Linked DNA regions of Arabidopsis thaliana. The protein of the gene in region 2 interacts with the protein of the main gene of each other region in a pairwise test. Each region holds a gene or a part of one and is shown on either strand. Other genes may lie near its edges. The genes, in order: CYCA2;1, CDKD1;3, CYCD6;1 and ICK5.

What was found.
Region 1: the proteins of CDKD1;3 (region 2) and CYCA2;1 interact in a protein complementation assay, tested with the Arabidopsis thaliana proteins (one large-scale study listed by BioGRID).
Region 3: the proteins of CDKD1;3 (region 2) and CYCD6;1 interact in a protein complementation assay, tested with the Arabidopsis thaliana proteins (one large-scale study listed by BioGRID).
Region 4: the proteins of CDKD1;3 (region 2) and ICK5 interact in a protein complementation assay, tested with the Arabidopsis thaliana proteins (one large-scale study listed by BioGRID).

Annotation. Positions count from the first base shown.
Region 1 is NC_003076.8:8,813,038-8,818,248, reverse strand, and holds CYCA2;1 (cyclin a2;1), read right to left. Parts: upstream 3,020-5,211; coding exon 2,729-3,019; intron 2,643-2,728; coding exon 2,501-2,642; intron 2,436-2,500; coding exon 2,296-2,435; intron 2,190-2,295; coding exon 2,097-2,189; intron 1,982-2,096; coding exon 1,848-1,981; intron 1,656-1,847; coding exon 1,580-1,655; intron 1,483-1,579; coding exon 1,406-1,482; intron 1,310-1,405; coding exon 1,276-1,309; intron 1,190-1,275; coding exon 1,040-1,189; intron 958-1,039; coding exon 823-957; coding exon of another isoform or gene 817-822; exon of another isoform or gene 743-816; coding exon 683-742; downstream 1-682. UniProt on the Arabidopsis thaliana protein: May negatively regulate endocycles and act as a regulator of ploidy levels in endoreduplication.
Region 2 is NC_003070.9:6,206,228-6,211,905, forward strand, and holds CDKD1;3 (cyclin-dependent kinase D1;3), read right to left. Parts: upstream 3,302-5,678; 5' UTR 3,073-3,301; coding exon 2,974-3,072; intron 2,829-2,973; coding exon 2,530-2,828; intron 2,444-2,529; coding exon 2,335-2,443; intron 2,235-2,334; exon of another isoform or gene 1,919-2,234; intron 1,906-1,918; coding exon 1,780-1,905; intron 1,627-1,779; coding exon 1,391-1,626; intron 1,312-1,390; coding exon 1,054-1,311; intron 950-1,053; coding exon 901-949; 3' UTR 644-900; downstream 1-643. Other genes in the region: AT1G18030 (Protein phosphatase 2C family protein), read left to right, coding at 93-140, 341-451; AT1G18050 (SWAP/surp RNA-binding domain protein), read right to left, coding at 3,735-4,015, 4,258-4,328, 5,039-5,361.
Region 3 is NC_003075.7:1,430,885-1,435,959, reverse strand, and holds CYCD6;1 (Cyclin D6;1), read left to right. Parts: upstream 1-2,098; 5' UTR 2,099-2,268; coding exon 2,269-2,469; intron 2,470-2,567; coding exon 2,568-2,651; intron 2,652-2,724; coding exon 2,725-2,820; intron 2,821-2,901; coding exon 2,902-3,109; intron 3,110-3,179; coding exon 3,180-3,310; exon of another isoform or gene 3,311-3,396; coding exon 3,397-3,585; 3' UTR 3,586-4,116; downstream 4,117-5,075. Other genes in the region: AT4G03260 (Outer arm dynein light chain 1 protein), read right to left, coding at 4,529-5,075.
Region 4 is NC_003070.9:18,364,511-18,368,857, forward strand, and holds ICK5 (Cyclin-dependent kinase inhibitor family protein), read right to left. Parts: upstream 2,235-4,347; 5' UTR 2,065-2,234; coding exon 1,771-2,064; intron 1,653-1,770; coding exon 1,600-1,652; intron 1,515-1,599; coding exon 1,329-1,514; coding exon of another isoform or gene 1,325-1,328; exon of another isoform or gene 1,252-1,324; coding exon 1,182-1,251; 3' UTR 826-1,181; downstream 1-825. Other genes in the region: PREP2 (presequence protease 2), read right to left, coding at 3,895-4,039, 4,298-4,347. UniProt on the Arabidopsis thaliana protein: Binds and inhibits CYCD2-1/CDKA-1 complex kinase activity. May target specifically CDKA-1.

The DNA.
Region 1 (5,211 bases), on a different chromosome or scaffold from region 2:
CTATGATATATCGCTCCGTTTATTTACGACAAATATACGTATAATTCATCTTTAGTATGATATTGTGAAAGAAATAATTACTTGTTAATGGAAAGCCAAGTTTTCAACAAATTTTGTCTTTATAGATCTTTGTTTAAATGGGTATCAACTAGGCTTTTCACTCAAGACAGGAAAAGGTTGGCATAAGAGAGAAAACCCAGTTTGTATTGTTTTAGAGAATCTGGTATTGCTTAGGTCGAGTTTCTTGAACAAGAAACAAAAGGTTTTTCATATTTGTTTATTGTGAAGTTTATTTGGGCCCAATGGAATGTAATTACCACTGGAACATCACTTGGTAACCAAAACTAAATAAATATACAATGGCGCATGAACACTTGCTTTTATTAATGAGTCTACAAAAATCTATAACATTTTTTTACTGTGAAGGACAAATCTCAATGAGTCAAAATTGTGTTTTGGTTGATACAATTTTCCATGAGATGGCACTTCTTTGGAAGCACCTGACACTAACAACAGTTACAGGTAAAAGATAGACAGACAACTTACAAGGAAAACTATTCCATAACTGTAGAGACCAAAACTGATGTCTGAAACTAGGATTGATGATCACCTGATACAAACTGCTGAAGCCAGAGAGTTGTGCTGACTTGGTCATATCAGGAGAATCAGAAAATCTGCGGTTTCATCTTGAGAAGAGTGTGTTCACACGTTCAGGAGATGTTAATGTTGCCACTCTTTTAAACTGTCAAATATTCATATAGAGTGAGAGAGACCAAATTCAGATTCAGTGTCCACTTTCTTAGATTGAATTTATTATTATACCTTTTGTTGGTTGTATTTGGTGTGTATAGCGATAAGAGTGCTTCCACTGGTGTTGAGCTGCAACTCCTCCATTGCAAGTACCGTGTTTTTTAGAGCGGATGTTTCATATCTTGTATAGTGTTGTAGAGTTTGGTTCTGTAAGCAATAACATTCACATCACCAAAAATTGTTTCAATGAGGTAAAAACATTCATAATGAGAAATATGAGCTCACTCACCCAAGGATGGTTAGATTGGTCGAGTGTCCATCTTGCTAAGAAAACCGCTGAAGCGGCAATTAGGGATGGAAGGAACCTTAGGAAAGTATATTCTGTGAGAGTTAGTTCCGCGAAATAGTTGGCTAAGTACTCCATTTCAATGAGAGGAACCTGTAAACCAACAAAATCAGTTTACTGATTCCAAGTTATTTCAAATGCTGAGAATGATTAGTGAAATGTATCAATGTAAATCTCACCTTATCAGACGCTTGAGCGGCGCGAATGAACCGCCTGAAACAGAGAAGAAGAAAATGACTTTAGAATGTTTTGAAAACGTTAAAGAGACTATGTTAAGTAATGGTGCATTTTGATGTGTTTAATGATTACCTGAGAAACGTTTTGGTGGTGGGAACTGATAACCGAAAATGAAGAGAGTTTAAAACTTTAATCTCCATACTTAGTACCTGAAAAAATAGTGTATTGTATTTTTTGTTAATCTTTTATTAAGAATGAATCATCTTAGCTGAGAACTGATAGAGATGGAGTCTGCATGTTAATTACTTCTAGTCTTGTGTATGTATTGTCTGTAATGAAGCAAAACTCCTCCAACCGCGGTGCACTAATCTCTTCGTATTTGCTTCAACAAGGAGGAATACCTTAGTTACTTGAGAAGTACTAATCTGTAATTATTAATTTAAGTATATATTCCAGAGTAAAACTTGCTCTAAGTATGCAATGAGAGCAAACATGTGTTCCTCTGTGTCCACTGATTGTTCAGTTTTACTTTCATTGCATTGTGAATGAGGAAACAGTAAAAGTGGTAACTCACGAGGCTATTAACATGCAAGTGATACCAAGTAGCTGGAGCTTCTGCTTTTCAATGTAATTATGAGACATGAACCGATCAATTAGATTCACGGTAAGGTAAAGTGTATCTGAAACCAACTTGTACTCTTCAGAGACCTGAAAGAAAAGAGATTCTTAGTTTAGCAAATACTTTGAAAATAACACACTTTCAACTTTTACACAAGTTCAAGTAAAAGTGTAAAACTATGCATAGCAAATATTGTATTCCTACCTCCACGAGCCAATCAATCAGAATTCCGCGCATCGTTGGATCGATATCTCGCTGCACTTGCACCATATAGCTAGTTGAAGGTCTTTGTTCAAGCTGTACAAAAAGTATTGGTTAATATAAGTAACTCAAAATCTCAAAATGTAAATCATCTTTTGGGAAGATAGAATAAGACCAAGCATTGAGATTATGTAATGCAAACCTCTGCAACATTAATGCTGTCATATATACTTGCAGCATATAAGCTACAAAACTGAGGATCTTGGACACCTGAATCTATATCTACAATCTGAACACAATCTGTGACATCAGATCTGTCTTCTTCTGCACAATCCACTAATTCTTGAGTAAATTTGAGAAACAAACACTCTGGTACAAACACATTCTTTAGTAGTGAAGTTTCTTACTTTGCTTTGAAGCAGATGCATCTAAAGATTCAACCATTCTAATCTTTGACAAATCTTCTGCTAGTTTAGATTTTTCGCCATCCACATCTACCAAACCATCTTCTTCTATTTGCTTAGTTTCTTTACCACCTCGCTTGCAAGCCTGCCACATTGTATCATTAACAACAAATTCTAAACCAAAACATATACGAATCAAGAAAATGCAAAGAAAGCATAAAAATTTGCTACCTTAACATTGCCTTCTGTAGAAATTATACTTTCTGCCAAAGTGTTAGTCACATCCTTGAGCACCGCTCGTCTTTTCTGATTACAAACTGTGATATTATCCGATGCCATTCGTTTATTACTCGGTCTAGCAACACGCTTCGTTTCATGTTTAAAAGCGGGTTTTGATGGAGAATTCGACACTCCTAAGGCCTTAGCTCTTGATCTAGTGACTCTCACATTATTATCTCGAATTTTCGAAGTAGAGATTGCTTCTTTCTTCGCATTAGTGTGCTTAGAAGAAGCTCTATGCATGATTTCAAATTATAAAAAAACACTCCACTGATTCAACAAGCCAAACCTGAATCAATCAGAGTTAAAAAATGTTAGCAAATTCAGATTCAAGAAAAATCGCATGCTCAATTAGTGAGATCAAATCTCAACTTCATAAACTTGAAAGAAATTGAGTGGAAGAACTTTAAACAAGTAAAATCAAGTTCCCAACATTAAATTTCATCTTTGACCCAAAAAAAAATTCTATACAAAAAATCACCTCCACGATCATATTTCTTATTATTGATCATTTTTCTTAAATGTTTCCGTGACAATAACAAGAAAATAAAAACATAAACACAAACATGATCAAATCATTGTCTGAATTCGGTATATGTTTCCGTGATCAAATCATTGTCTGAAACATAAACATACAAACAAAACAGAGAGAAAAAAAAACCACAAACACTTAGAAAAATAAGAACAGAGAAAAAAACAGATCTACAAACAAAAAAACTCAAATTACGAACAACAAAAATAAATAAACATCGATCCAAACGAGAGACGTGTAAAATGATGTGATACCTTTGTCACAGAAAATCGAATATAGAGAATGAGAATGATCTACAACAGCGAAGAGAGTGTGTGTTGAAATAGGAGGAGCGTGACTGCGTGAGCGGGATTTTGTGGTCTCGTTTCGAAATTCAGATATTAAAATTTTTAAAGTTGAAAAACAAAAGAAAAGAGAAAGTGACTTTGGGATTTGGACAAATGATAATTTTTGGATTTTTATTGGGAAGTAAGTGACAGAGTGGTTTCTGACACTTTGACGTCTGGTCTTGTAGTTGTGGTAAATTCTCTTTTTTTTTTTAATTTGGAGATCTAATCAGCCGTTACGCGCTCTATTCTATGGCATCTGTTCCTTACTTTACTATTTGAGTGCCCCATTGATTAAACCGTTTCATAACCTAAAAGCCCATTGGACTATTATCACAAACTATTCACTGACTCTAACAAAAACCCAATCTATGTTTTGTAAAAAAAAAAAAAAATCTAATATTAAAGAGGAACATAGTCACCAAAGAAAAGAAATTGGTGTTTGCTTCATTGTTAAAAACTATTAATTACAAAATAAAAATTTACTATTCTTTCTAAATTTGGAGTCTAGCTTTAAATTTGGCAGACATATTTCCTCTTCATGTAGGCAATATAATTTTACTCTTCATACTAAAGTCTCTTTTTTTTTTAATATCAAAAAACTATCATGTAAGAAATTTCTTAAAAATTTAAATTAACAGGTAGATTATCAATCAAAATGTTTCAATTGATACTATACGTATAATACATTATCATTATCATTACATTATTTTTAATTTTTAACTAAATTAAAATTTTAAAATTTGTTTTCACGCTATTTCTATTGGTAAGTTGATTGTTGAAGAATTTAAAGATTTCAAAAGTTTAGAGATTTTAAAAGTTTTACAGATTCTTCTCAGTGAGTTGTATAAACTCTAGCAATGATTTTCATGGATTTTTTGTTTATGGCTAAACAAAGTGTTACTAGATAATATTTTTCCATGTTTTTGTTTTCTTTATTTGTTTTATTTTACCATTGTTTGGTTTATTACACTAAATAAATTTATAAATCTCATATAATATAAATCGTTGACATATTTTTTGTATTATTATCAGTTTTCATAATCGTTAATGTAAAATTTATTAATGTAAAATATTACTGTTTTTTATGTTAACAAATGAAGAGATACATGAGTTTATCAATTTTGAGAGAGAGTTTGTCAAGAAAGACTTTATTCATCAACAAGCAAACGGAGTTGATATTGCTCATATGCGAATCCTGCTAGTCACTTCCTTGCTTGGACTCCTCAAAAAGCTTTATGTCTTTGAGATATATGAGGTCAAGGTTGAAAAAGAGAAGAGAGATGCTTCTAGAGCAATGGTACTCTTGATTAACAAGAATCCTCACTACAAAAAAAGAAACTCATTTACATCACATAATTTGTTTCAGAAAATTAAATGATACTAATTTAAATCACTTATTTTTAATTGATACTAATTTAAATCTTTATTTTTAATCGATATAAAAAATATTATTTAACATCAGTTACAATAATAGATGTTGTTATTGATATATATGGCATCATTTCATTAAAACTAATACAAATCCAAAACATTTGCATCACTTTCACAAAAAATGATCCAACCCTAAGAATTTG
Region 2 (5,678 bases):
TCGTTTGTGGTTTTGCAGTGCTCTATAAGAACATTTCATTTTGTCTTTATATATCAAAGTTTGCTGCTCATACACAATGCAACCGTTTTCAGGTGTTTGGACCAAGTGATGCTGTTGGATTTGTCCAGAAACTTTTGAAGGTAAATACCTACAGTTGTCAAAATCACTTTGTCCTCCATTTCACACTCTCTTTAACTACATAGAAAGAAGCTCAAAAAACAGATGTTTTTCGGTAGCCATGTGAGCAAAATGGCTTGTTAGAACCTTGTGCACACAAGTAAAGAGTGTCAAGGGAAATTAAATGTGAGAAACTAAGAGGCTAAGAACTATGATTTTGTAGGAGGGCTTGCATGTAAGCACGGTAAGTCGCCGTCTTGTGAAGGAAGCTGTGAAAGAACGTCGTTGCAAAGACAACTGCACAGCAATCGTGATAGTCTTCAAGCGGGTATGACTAAAGAAGAGCCTGACTGACATGTGGGCATCTGTTTTTCTGGCTCGTATGTGTTTTATAAACCTGTTGTTGGTATTTGGTAAAATCTTTTTGAGCTGTCAATGGATCAATTAAATTCCTGGGGCCACCATCGAAAGAAAAATGAGTTTGAAGATTAAACAGAGCTCTCTTTGTACCGCAAAGAATTCTAGAAGCAAAAAGTAGAAAGCTTTATAATCATAGACTTCATAGTACAGTATGATCAGTTTACAATGAATAAAAAGCCTATGGGACAACAAAATATTATCATTGTGAATCTAAGGTCCCTCTGGTTTGTAATCAAGCTAAATATGGAAAAGAATAAATCGCCAGATTACACAAGCAGCAGTAAATTGACAACTTAACAATGGTGTGGTTTCACCAGAACATGAAAATGGAGAAGCTAAGAGAAGAGTGCATAACCAACAGTCTTACTGGAACTCAAGATCGAGTTTCCTCTTCAGATGAGATCTATCAGCACTACAAATTGAACAAGAAGAAGTCATTAAAACACAATCAATCTTGAGGCTGTAATGACAAATGAGATTAATATGCAGTGAGGGAGAAACTGTCTTGTTTTTTACCTGGTGATTGTTGGCCTGTTTGGAGGTCGCTCAGCGAGGATGGTAAAATCTAATGACATGGGTGCTTGTTGATCCTTGTCAACATGAGACTTCAAACTATCAACCCTCCCACGCTCAGGCATCACTCTTCTAAGCTTACGTGGTGGTGATTGCACTGTAATGGCCTCATGTTTACCGTAAGATGATTTACCATCCTGCTTAGGAACGGGCTTTGGGAGCTTAGCCGGGTCAGTAGGAGCAGGTGCAGAAGTGAAGTACCTGAAATAATGAAAACAAAGGTGTGAGAGCAGAACGCTAGATATACTTTGCCTATAAACAGATGGTGAACATTAGGCACCTGTGTTCTAGAGCCTGCTTAATGGAAATTCTAGCCTTTGGGTCATAGGTAAACATTTTGGACAACAAGTCGAGAGCATCATCACTAACTGCTGGGAATAAAGAACGTAGAGACGGTGCAGGGACAAATTGATACTCTACATAATCTGGAAGCTTTGTTAAATCCGGCCACTGATCTGCTTTTGGTGTCCCAAAAGCAGCAAATATTTTGCTTAATTGATCAATATCACTGTTTCCCTGCAACGGCAAAAATAGAATAAGTAAACATACCGAGAAAATTGATAATGAATATGTAATTATGTAGTCTGAGAGTGAGTATAACATCCAAAGAGATGACAATTGGACTAAAGTTTTAATGGTAGCCATTAGATTTGAGTAAGATTATTTAACCTGAAGAAATGGTCTGCGTAGTAGAAGTTCGGCGAATATGCAGGCAACGGCCCAAACATCAACTGCAGCACCATATTGTTTTGCACCAAACAAAAGTTCTGGTGCTCTGTACCATCTAGCAAACACCTGTGCATTATCAGATATATCAAGATATGAAGATAATATAACAACTAGAAACAAGAGAAAATAAGTTGCATTGCGCATTTGGAAACAGAGCTCACATGGATTCTATTGTAATTTTGGGTGTTCAAAGGGAAACAAAGAAGGCAGAAATAGCTCAGGTCAAAAATCCGGTTAACAGCAAAACTTTTAGTACAGATATGAGATAGCTACTGCACCATCATTTAATATGAGTTGAGACTGTTTAATACATGTTACATTTAGTATACAACTAGAGAAATGAAAAGACATGAGACATCTAATCTTCCTCATCCCTAGACATAACTACTGATAAGAACTACTTAAAACTTTCTTATCAATATTTCATATGAGTTAGTCGATCAATTTGGTTATATTACAGCAATAGATAAAATGGCAATGCGGCAAAAGGCATACCTGGTGGGTAAACTTACGATTTGGACTACCAAATATACGTGCTAAGCCAAAATCTGCAAGCTTAAGCTGTCCATCAACTCCTATTAACAAGTTATTTGGCTTCATATCCCTGAACTCAAGCCACACATAATCAGTGCCCAAACCAAGCAACATTACAGAGACAATAAGCAAGTTGTTAAGGATAAACAAATGTACCTGTGCAAAACCCATTTATCGTGGCAATAAGCAAGTCCTTTAAATGTCATTAGGAGGTAGGATTTAATGTCGGCGGGTGAGAGGAAAATGTTAGAATCGCGAATAACTGCTTCGAGGTCAGTCTCCATGAACTCAAAGACAAGATGCAAGTTTTCCTTGTGAGGAAATGCATCAATGAGCAGAATAATATGAGGATGCTTTAGCTCTTTGAGCATTTTGATTTCTCTGAGAGCTGTAATATTTACACCTTCTCTTTGTTTACCAAGCCTTATCTTCTTAATTGCTACAGTTTGTTCCGTCTGCAAAATTACACCCCACAATTACTTCCCCTTGATCCAACAAAAACTTCAATCAAAATCCGGAACCAAAAAAGAAGGAGAAATTAGGAATTGCCGACAGATCCTAAACCCTAATTTTGCAAACAAAAATCAGCAAAGATATGACCTTAGTATCAGTGGCTTTGAAGACGACTCCATAGGTACCTTGCCCAAGAACCTCTTGCTTGAGATACCTATCAGCAACTTTCTTTGGCTGCTCCGGCATTTTCGGGTTTTTCAGAACCCACTCAATAATCGCGCCTCTCTCTTTCTTCTTAATTCACGTCGCTAGAATTCGATTGCTTTCCGATTTTTATTCTAAATTGAGTAAAATCGACGATGAGGAAGATACCGGGAAAATTTAGGGTTTCAGCTTTGAGAGCTCCGGCTCCGGAGAAAAAGTAGCCGTTGGCGCGTTTGCAGACGCAATCGGCTAATCGAGGGAAACAACAAATAAAGAGAAACGCCCAATTATTTACTTTTCTAGTTTTTTATACATTTAATATCCAAACATTTTCGATTTATAAAAGAGAAAAATATTATTTAATATCTAAACTTTTAAACAATAGCTAAATTAATCGTGAATTTTTGATTTTTTGAAATGACTGTTTTATACCTCAACAAATTTAACCTATAACCTATAAAGCATATTAGCAATCCACGTGTTTTTGCTAGAGTTTAGCTGATTTCTTAAGAGCTATCGTTGCTGTTTCTCGTCCATATCCCCTTCCTTGATAGTTTCAAGCTCTTTGCCAGTAATCCATTCAGGGAGTATAGCTGCATACTTGCGAGGTGGTGGAGGCGGATACTTCATTGTCGGCTTCTGGTCACTAGCAAAGCCCGGAGGAGGTTTTGGAATCTGAAGCGGTGGTTCCCTTACCCTCACCCTCAATGGAACATCAGGTATCCCATAATCACTAAGTTTGATCTCAGGTCCCTCATGTAATTCTGCGCACGGTATCCAGCAAGCTTTTTCTGGTAATAAGCATGATAACGATCTGAGCTCCAGAAGAAGGAGTACTTTGGGTTTCCCGCATAGCTTGTCATCATCTTTCTCTCCATCTCAGGCCCCTCCATGAAAACCAAACGGGCTGAGCTATCCGCATAATATCTAGTCCTCGGAGGTACATCTGCCGGAGTTCGATTGCAAATCACTCGACATCTCTTTTCTATACAAAGAGAAACACAAAATAATAGATAAAGTTAACCCTTGATGACAAGAGATGCAAAGAGATCGATTGAATGTGTTGATTATCACTTGACCCTGAGCTCTATATGACTATATTTATACAAGGGGTAAACTACCAAGAAAACGAATTATCTTCCTAAACGTAAATATAAGAAAAGGCAAAGATACATATCCAAGGACTACTTAGGGTTTCGGAGAGAGATAACAAGTACCGTACCTCACCCACCGGAAAGTAACAGCCACGCCGCGAGAGCCACAGTGACGTCGTGAACGAACGAACTCTAGTTCTGAAGCTTGGAAATTGACAATTGCAAATCAACGGAGAATATCCTCTTAGAACAAATCCACGGAGCCCTATGCGTAGCCTAGCACTTATAGACGAGAAACTTGTGCTCCAGGTTTTATAATGGGCCTCTGTTATTCGGGCTTATAACTTCGGGCCATATTTACTTAATTTGAAGTTAAATTCGGTTTTGGGTCGAGATTTTGGGTTTTAGTTGTTTTTTGTTGTGAGAGACGTCGTTTTCCATTTTCACCATACATTATCTACTTAACCGGTAAGAACCAAATCATACATACATGAACTGTTATGTTATAAAACCATTCTGTTTAACATCAGAACATTACGGAAAAACGGTCTATTTCCCCATGGGAACTATCGCATCTGGCTAGATGAAGCCCGATCTTTGACCTCTTGCTATTTACCCATGAAATGAAAGTTAAACGTCTATTTCCCCACCAATTAAAAGTTCAAGAGCTTAATGTCCCCGAATCGTGGTTACTTCGGTTTGATACGTAAACCCGAGACGAAACCATATTATCGGTCAAAACCAAACCAAAAAAACCCGGATTCGTTTTTAAAACCCGATCCATTGTCGAATCCCAAATCCAAAATCTAAAACCCCAAACTCAAAACTCAAGAACCCTAAATCGATTCCCAATTTTTTTATTTCCAGTTGAAAGATGAGCAATCTGTCATCAAGTTCGTCGGGATCTACAGGACCTCGTGGTCGAGGAAGAGTGGTTGGAGTGCCAAAGAGATGTTGGATTATGTCCAGTTCTCAGAGCATAATCTATAACCGCCTCTTTGAACGCAACTCCACTGAAGAAACTCTGCTTTTGGTACAAAAACCCATCACCACGCCTCACATGTATGTCGGAACTGTCGTCGGCTCCTTCACCATCGCTCTCCGGGTACACGTCGTGGCGAATTGGTGGTTCGTCGGTCCACTCGTTTAGCATTTCTTCCAGGTGAAAGTTATCTCTGTCTTCAGCTTCGGGATCGACATCACCATCAAGATCGGGGTCGTGATGGATTAACGACATCCCGACATCGATCGATCAAAGTTTTAGGGTTTGGAAAAACTGGATTTGAGGATTCGTCAGGTTAAATTAGGGTTCGTCGGGAGAGAATTTGGGGATTTTTTTGTTTAGGTTCGAGAGTCGGGTTACGGGTCATAATTTTGGTTTAAATTAGGTTTATTCTGGTTCTAAATAGGTTTAGTTGGTTAAGTCATCGGTTTCGCATACAGTAAACCGACTTAATCCAGTTCATGGACATTAAGTTCTCGAAGTTTTATTTCGGGGACATTAAGCTCTTGAACTTTTAATTGGTGGGGAAATAGACGTTTAACTTTCATTTC
Region 3 (5,075 bases), on a different chromosome or scaffold from region 2:
AGAAGTATCATTTTAAAGTTCAAACAAAGTAGGTTGGTTTGAGAATTTAGGTGATATATTTGTTCAATCTTCACTAGTACCCATTTTATAATGAGAAATTCCTACAAATAGCACACTTTTAAGTTTTTTGGATAAAAATAGCATTAAAAGGTTTTTTAGACATAAATAGCACTCAAATAATAATACCACAATTTTATGGACAATAATAATACCACAATTTTATATAAAATCTATTCAACCAAAATAAGTTAGAAATAAATTTAAAATATTATATTTGGGTTCTCTATTTCCAATTTAGGGTATATATTTTAACTATTTAAAAAAAATTTTGATTCCTTTTAATATTAGTTTATGGTATTATATTTGGGTTTCCTATTTCCAATTTAGGGTATATATTTTCACCATTTAAAAGAGATTTTTCATTTTAAAATTAGTTTGTAGTATTATATTTGGGGTTTTTATTTCCAATTTAGGGTATATATTTCCACTATTTAAAAGTTTTTTGATTCAATTACTTCTTTTGCAATAAATATCTAATATTTTTTTATTCTTTAAAGTGGTTCAAAATCTGGCATTTGTTAAAAAGAAACAAAAAATTGTCACTCTTTCTCTATGAAACATATTACTATTATATTGTTTAAAAAACAAGAAACTATATTATTATCAACACTTTTCTGTTGTTTATTAGCTAATACTCCCAAAACATTTTTTTTGGACAAATACTAATACCCCCAAAAACTAATAAGCTGTTTTTTCTTACGTTACAAGCATATAAATTCTTATGTTTGTTAGGTCAGTCAATGTTTTCTTTCATTTCGTTCATATCTAGAGTTTCAAAGGCCTTTGCATTTCACATTTTCTACATAAAATTAATGTTTTCTTTTCCGTCTAAAAATAGACCAGTCAGGCTTTGGCAGTAAAAGATCAAAGTAAAAAAATAAAAACAAAAAGTTTGTTCAAATGGCGTTTTCACATGGCAGTTTGTTCATTGACTTCTCAATTTTTCTTTATTGACTTAAAAAAAATAATCTGAATATATATGTTGGGAATTTCAAAACCTAACAAAAGGTAAGTACAAAGACTTAAGGACAAGGAAAACCAAGCTGTCACAACCTAATTAGTAATTTAAAATGTGTGATACAATGATGATTAAAAACAAAACAAAGACTTAAAAAGATTTCTAAAGTTAATCAATGTTTGTAACTGTTTGGACGAGATTCCAAAGTGACGAATCTTTTGATACATAAAACTGTACATTACATCAGCTCTATTTATGAGTAAATGACAACTTTATGTGGTAAATAAAATGGTTTAACGATAGTATATGTTATTATCATATTTAATCTCCCCAGCCTTAGTATATTTTAAAGTTGGGTCTTACCAAATTCATGAAAGAACTTTAACACACACAAAATTCATAGAAGAACTTTTTTTTAGCATGATACTAAATTTACATGATCTAAAACTCAAACAAAATGTAATATCTATATATATTATGCTGGTTTTTTTTTCAATATGATTTTTTAATTGTTTGGTACTTGATATTAATACTAAAATGCAATTTTATTTATTTATTGAATTATTGACTTAATTTGTAATAAAATCTAATAAAAACATTACACGTATTAGTGTATTACATATTTTTTAAACAACTAAGTAATAATTTACGGTTATAAATTTTTAATACAAACGGCTCTGTTTATGAATATTTGTAGTTTAAGGTTTTTGCATACAAATTAAGAAAACATACAAATCTCATTTAATTTATCTATTTCTTATAAAAACACCATTAATTACAACTAATCCAACCAATAAAAAAATATGATGCAAAATATAATTGGTTAAAAACTATTAAATACATTTAATGTTTGCATAGAAAAGTGAAAACAACATTTATATTGAAAAAAATAAAAAATTATTGAACTACACTTAATTAAAAACAGAGGATTATAGAGAATTTAAGAGAGAATATTGGATTTTTTTTCCTTCTAATATTGCAAAAGAAGAATCTCTTGAAAAAGATTTGATTATCTTTGATAAAATCTTAATTCTTACTATCAATGAGAAAAAATCGAATAAAAAAATAACCAAAGTGGTAGTAATAAATAAATGTGGAAAATCTCTCAAAAGACCGAAAACCATCTCTCTCTATCTCACAATAAAGACAACTTCTCTCTTTTAATGTCTCTCTGTCCCTCTCTCTTCTTCTTCATCTTCTAACACCAATTCAAGAAAGAAGGAAGCTTAAGAAGAGTCTATCATCAATCAATGGAGTTTCATCTTGAACATCCTCTCTCACATTCTTCACTCCACAATAACTTCAACGACGACACAGACTATGAAACTTTACCACACTCTCTCTTCCTCGTCGAGTTTCAACACATGCCTTCTTCTCATTACTTCCATAGCCTCAAGTCCTCTGCTTTTCTTCTCTCTAATCGAAACCAAGCCATTTCTTCAATCACTCAGGTCTTTTTAACCAAAATTATTTTCTGGGTTTAGTTCTGAATACTGAATCGTTATCGAAAGACTTAACTTTATTTTAATTTGTAACTGAACAATCGCAGTATTCAAGAAAATTCGACGACCCATCTCTGACGTATCTTGCTGTGAATTATCTAGACAGGTTCTTGTCTAGCGAAGATATGCCGGTAAAAACAGAATCTTCCGACAGAATCTGTCCTTTGTTTCATCTGAGTTTTGACTAAATTGTTTTGTCAACAGCAGTCAAAGCCCTGGATTCTTAAGCTCATATCTCTCTCTTGTGTCTCTTTGTCTGCAAAAATGAGGAAACCAGACATGTCTGTTTCTGATCTTCCGGTAACTTAAAACTCATGAATCTTTATAATGTGAATGTGTTTTAAAGTGTTGATAAGTGTCTGAACATTGGATTTTTTTCAGGTGGAAGGTGAGTTTTTTGATGCTCAGATGATAGAGAGAATGGAGAATGTGATTCTAGGAGCTCTTAAATGGAGGATGCGCTCTGTTACTCCTTTCTCCTTTTTGGCCTTTTTCATTAGTCTCTTTGAGCTCAAAGAAGAAGATCCTTTACTACTAAAACATTCCCTCAAATCTCAAACCAGTGATCTTACTTTCAGTCTTCAACATGGTAAATACAGAATTGCTTTTCTTCAATCACATAATCACAATATGCTAAAATCTGTTTGAAAACGCTGCAGATATCAGTTTCCTCGAGTTTAAACCATCGGTGATTGCAGGCGCGGCACTTCTCTTTGCTTCTTTCGAGCTCTGTCCTCTACAGTTTCCATGTTTCAGTAACAGAATCAACCAATGCACATATGTAAATAAGGTAAAGAAGTCTTGAACAAGTAAACCATCTCAAATCGAGCTTTTTTTTCATCGCGGTACTAAGCGAGCATTAAACCGTGGTTGCAGGATGAGTTAATGGAGTGTTACAAAGCAATACAAGAGAGAGATATTATAGTTGGAGAAAACGAAGGAAGCACTGAAACAGCAGTAAATGTGCTTGATCAGCAATTCTCGAGTTGTGAAAGCGATAAGAGCATCACAATCACAGCTTCTTCTTCACCTAAGAGGAGGAAAACTAGTACTCGTCGTTACTAAGCTGAAAAAGGTGGTTAATGGTCAAACATAATCGTCAGATGAAATCAATCACTTAGCTACTTCAAAAACCACTTCTGGTCCCCTTATGAAAATGACACTTGCTTCCTTTCCCCTTATCTCCATCCATCTTCTTCTGCTTCAAAAATAAACCATTTCTCTCTTCCTGGAAGACAAGAGAGTGATGAATGATCAAAGACAAAGTCTCGGGTTCTGTTCCGTTGCTTGTTCCTTTGGACCACAACACAAAACTCAAAAAATTCAAAAGAAAAACAAATTACCAGTCTGTAGTATTTATCTATCTATCTACCTATCAATCATGTTCTGTATTTACAGTTTTGGCTTGTGGAGTTAAGTTGTTTCACTTGGGGGGAATAATCAATAAATATTGTTCTTGTGTAGTGTATATAACCCTATGGTTATGTTATTTATTAATGAACAAATGTGGTCACGAGATAACAATGAATTCAATTTTCAGGAATAAGATTTTGTCTTATGAGACTTCGTTATCCGACTTATATGGATCCAGTTGCCAGAATCTCTGTTGCAGGCAGGCAATATGATACTCTTTGGACCACTTTACACAGTCTTTAAATCATTCAATTGCTTTTGTTCTTACTGTAAATGAATCCCTTGCACTAACCCATATTAGGCCCACTAGCATCATAACGGCCCAAGATTGTGATATACAAGATCCATTCAAGCCCATTACTTAATGAAAACAATTGCAAGACTCAGACTGTGCTGAAAAGAATGTATACCATGGTTTCCAATTTCAGACATTATTGAGAAGCTATAAGAATCAAAGCTTCTGATGTATGTAATGCACAACAACAAAACACAAAGATGAAGAAGATGAATAAAGGGAAGAAAGTGTGTATCTATCACATCTTCATCGTTACCTCGCTAAGGAAATCGCAGGCAATGAAAGAGGGAGAGAGAGAGATCAGATAGGTCCGAGAGTTCCTTCACTTCGACTTCTTCGCATGGAGAGCTCAGTTCTCAGACTAGACAATCTATCACCAGTAGCAACGTGATAATTCTCGTAAGCAGCTGGAGATAGTTTGTGTCCCACAGGTGGAAGACGGCTGCGTCTCTCCTTGGACCGTTTCTGCAATGCTGGTGCTTTACGAGCTGTGGAGGATCCAGGTTTGTGAGAACTGGATGCACCATGGCTACTCTTCCGGCTACTGTTTTTGAGCTCTGATCTAAGGCCTCGGTCCAACTGATGTGTGCTTGTCCCGAGCCGAGCATCTTTAGTGCCTTGTCTATTATAGTATACCAAATTTGGCAGAAGTCCCAAAAGGTACTTTCTCAGTTGTTCATCACCAACATTCTTCTGTGCAGGGTTACCTTCCAAGCTTATAGCCTGAAGAGAACTGTAATTTGCAGCGAGCTGGCCAAGACATTTGGTGGTTGAAAACTTATTGAAGCGTAAATCCAGGACCGTCAATTTCAAAAGTCGATGAAGACCCTCGATTTCGCTGATTTTG
Region 4 (4,347 bases), about 12 Mb from region 2:
ATTATTATTTAGTTTTTTTCCTTAATCGCACTATTTTTATTTTCTTCAATTCTTTTCAAATTTAAATTCGTGTTGTTAAGTAAAATATAATAACAGTCAGTTCGCAAAAAAAGTACATAAATAAGGGAAAGGAAAAAAGAATAAATGAAAAGAAAAACTAAAATAACAGAAAGCACGTGGAGTCACGCGCCTTTGCCTGCTGTAGGAAATTAAAATAAGAAAAGAAAATTAAAAAAAGGGAATATAATCCCAACGGAATCAGGTAATGATGAGATCCTCTCTATTCTCTTCTCTCTCTTCCTTTTTTGTATTCTTGCCATTTAAAGTTTTAATTTTTTGCCGTAAAGCTCATTTATAATTTGAAAATTAAATTTCAGAAAGAAAAAAAAACGTCAATCATCGAGAAAGCTTTCAAATTTGCTTCTTTTTTTTTGATAAATAAACATTCAACTTTGTTCATAAAGTTTTCTTGATAAAATAATAAAATAAATTATTTCAAGGAAATTAGAGGAATATTCATTCGAACTATAGAGAAAGTACATACCAAGTGTATGATATATATATACCGTTATGGTTTTCTAATTTTACCCATTTTCCTTAAAATCTATATTTATTTTCTTCTTCCTATTACCATTATTGTTTCACTAAAACAATTGTCGAAACAAGAAAAATAAAAAAGTTATAAAATAGCATATAAAGTACAAGCAACAAAAAGAAGAGAAAAAAACAATTTCTATAAACATCCAAGGTGAGAATCAAAACAATAAATAGTTTTCCAAATTCATAAATACGTAAATCCTCCCAATTTCATGAAAATACTAATAATGTGCACAACACCAAATTCACTACAACAAAACTGACAAAAATTAGTGAAACTTTACTGACACAATAATTCCAATTTTTAATTGTTGTAACCCCACTTTTTTTGTTGAACAATCCAACAATATCACCGAGACAGAGAGAATTAAACTCAAATATATGTTAACACTTCTAGTTAAAAAAAAAAACTCTTGGTACGAAGAACAGATGAAGATAATGATGAAATTAAAATTAGATAAAAACTGTACAATGAAATGTCTCTAAAAATTCTTCTGTCTGTGACAAAAATCACAGTACTAGGACGTGTAACTTTAGCACTGTCTCTTCTTCTTTTTCTTTTTTTTTTTGTTCTTCCATGGCTTCTAAGGTTTCAGACTAACCCACTGGTACCGACCTTCAAGCGGCGTATCATTGACGATGTCGTAGTTGTACCTATACATGTTTTAAACAACTGCAAGTTAAGGATCTCTGCTATCATGCGCGTGTGTGTGGGTCTAAAAAAGACTCACTTTTCTGTGAATCGTTTCTGTTCGTATCTCTCCGCCGCCGAGAAAAAGTCATCAAGCTCTGCCTGCGTCGGTGATTTTTCCATCTTCTTCTTCTTCTCCGTCTTTCTCTGATCTCTCATCTCCGTCGTCGCCGAGTCCATTTCTGCTGTTTCTCCCAGATTCTCGCTTGATGAAATTCCCTGTTTCCTGTGAAATTCCAAAAATTATGAATTTATAGACGAAACAATGAAGAAATTGAAAAATCTTTGAAACGTCTTTTTTAGTAATTAACCTGAAATTGTTGGTGAGTAACGTTGAGATTTCGGTTTCGGAGATTTCATGAGCCTGAAAACGGAAACAAAATTAATTAATCCAAAAAAACGTAATCAGATCTTGCTCAGAGAGCATTTATTGTGAAACAGAGAAATTTCAAAATTTGTAATCTCGAGTTTCGAAATTTCACCTCCAGATCTGAAAATGGAAGACGAGTAGCGATTTCGTTAGTTTCGCTGCTGGAACAACCAGAGCTGATGCTTGAGCTTAGATGATCGTCTTCTTCTTCAGATAACGCGACGGAGCAGAAACCTCCGGAATCTGAAACCGAGTAAGCCAGAGAAGAAGAGGAAGAAGAAGAAAGAGTTCTCGTCGGTGAGCGTAAAACGTCATCATCATCATCGAGTCTCATCCTCTTGATGTTTGATCCTTCGTACTCAGAATCTCTCTTGGGTTTTGTTTCGCTCATTTCTCTCAAGCTCATTATAGTTTTCTCTGGAGAGAGTTTATGAAAAAGTTGGGGTTTCTCTGGTTAATAAAAACAGAGGAAGGGTTTTGGGTATTTGGGGGAGAGGAAGATGAAGGATCTAGAGCCGTTGATTAATTCAACGGCTGAGATTTAATTATTGGGCCTTGCCTATAGCGGATGGGCCGTTGTTGTGCCGGTTTTGAGTGGGGTCCTTTAAACTGAGTCCCGTTCACGGGGAAGCAGGTAACGGCGTCGTTACGGAGCGTAGACGCCGTCGGGATTCTAAACGACGCGTCTTTTTTGCCGTTTTTAGCTTCCTTTTAAAGCAACCCAAAACTAAAACGTCGTCCTATAAGCTGTAGAAATGTGAGTTGTGACAGTAATTTTTGTTAATTAATCTACTTTCTACTATAGATTTCTTAAACTTATATTCTTTTACACGTAAATACATTTGTCAAAACAAAAAAAATAATTCTGATGGTTGCTGATTCATAATTTCTATCATAAGCTCTAAATATCAACTTCTTAAGGATATAACTAGGCACATAGATTAGAGTCTAAAGCATTCACTTTCTTATGAGCAGCTTCACATGGAGACAGAACTATAAATACAATCAATTAAATAGTACTTATTAAATGACAACAACAAAAAACCAACTTAAAATCCAGCTTTTACATGGAATCTGTACATGTCCAAAAATGGGTTAAGAATTTTACACATACAACATGTTTATTTCCTTCTAATAAAATGGGACCATTTTCGTTATTTTTTGGCAGTGAAATAATGAGCAATAATTGACCGTTACATAATAATTGTGCTAACAAGCATTTACTTGGGATTTTTTTTTTTTTTTTTTTAAAGTTACACATGTACAATATCGAAAATATGAAATATTAGAATCTAGGCTTCATTTTGCAAAAAATAAATAAAAAATAATCTAGGCTTCAATTGTCCGATTCTGCTTCTTCAATAATTTTAAAATTTATCACAAGAAAAAAAAGAAGACTCTTCGTTAATTTTCATCCATAATAATGATGTAATCAGAATTTTCAAGGATAATGGTAAAAGGATGAGACGAAGAAGATTCATCAATACAAGTATCTTTGTTTATGGGCTAATTTACAAAAGTTATCTTTATGAATCAATGTTAATAAAAAGTAACTTTAAAGACTAATTCACTTATAAAAGTAACATAGAGATCTTGATGCCAATGTCCTAAAAGAATAAGCGTTTCAATTTCACTTGGAAATGTTTAAGACCTACGACCTACTTCAAAAACACAAACAAAAACAAATGAAGCATGAGTAGTCACATTAGATAGTATGACAATAACAAGATCACGACACATGATGAATAATAGATGCATCTTTTGTATGACTGAGAGCCATTTGTTTTAACAAGAACAGGCACTGTTCGATCCGATCCCAGCCAATGATGAATATAATGTCTATTTTGACTCATCATTTTCAACAAAATGTGAATCAAACGAAACTGGTTTTATAACCTAAAAGGTACAGGAAAATCCTCGAGAGCTTATCTTGATACGATAATGGAATATAAATAGAACTAGGATTCTTAGTTCTTAAAGAGCAAAGGCTAAAACGAAAGAAAAATTGTCCAAAAAAGTAACAACTCAAATGCAACAGTAGCTAAAGCCTGTGTTTTCAGGTAAAAATGCTAAATTTCAACTGTGATAAGTCATGATGTTGGCATATATAACTATACAAAACACAGTGAAGTAAAACACAAATAAGTACGAGCTTAGAGATTTGATGCGTCGTACCGTGAACCTAAGAAGAGTCATTCCTCATTGTGACAAGCTACTTTCTAAGAGGGTCTCAGACTCAGAGAGCTGCTTTCTTCACCTCGAAAAAATTTGAGCGTTCTCTGTTTGCTGCATCAATGTCTTCTTGTGATGCCACGGCCACTGCAACGCCTTTATCACTAACAGAGTCTATTGCCTCTGCGAATTCCTTGAAGTCCTTCAAACTGAAAAAGGATAAAATGGAAGTTACTTTTCTTATCTGTTTGATAATAACTATGTCGAAGAATTGCAACTGGCTATTTGGTAATATTCAAAGAAGTCGTTAAACTCCTAACACTACAAAACTCAGATCACAACATTGTCCCCAAGGATTTCATAAATCCCCACAGGATATCCGCGGCATACCATTATGTGGAAAGTGAAAAAGTTGTATAAATTGATTTGTATATACGCTAAAGCAAAAATGAGAGAATGCTGTTAACCTTGTAGATAATATCTCTTCACGCCTTATTTGCCTCTCTTCGTCGGTTAC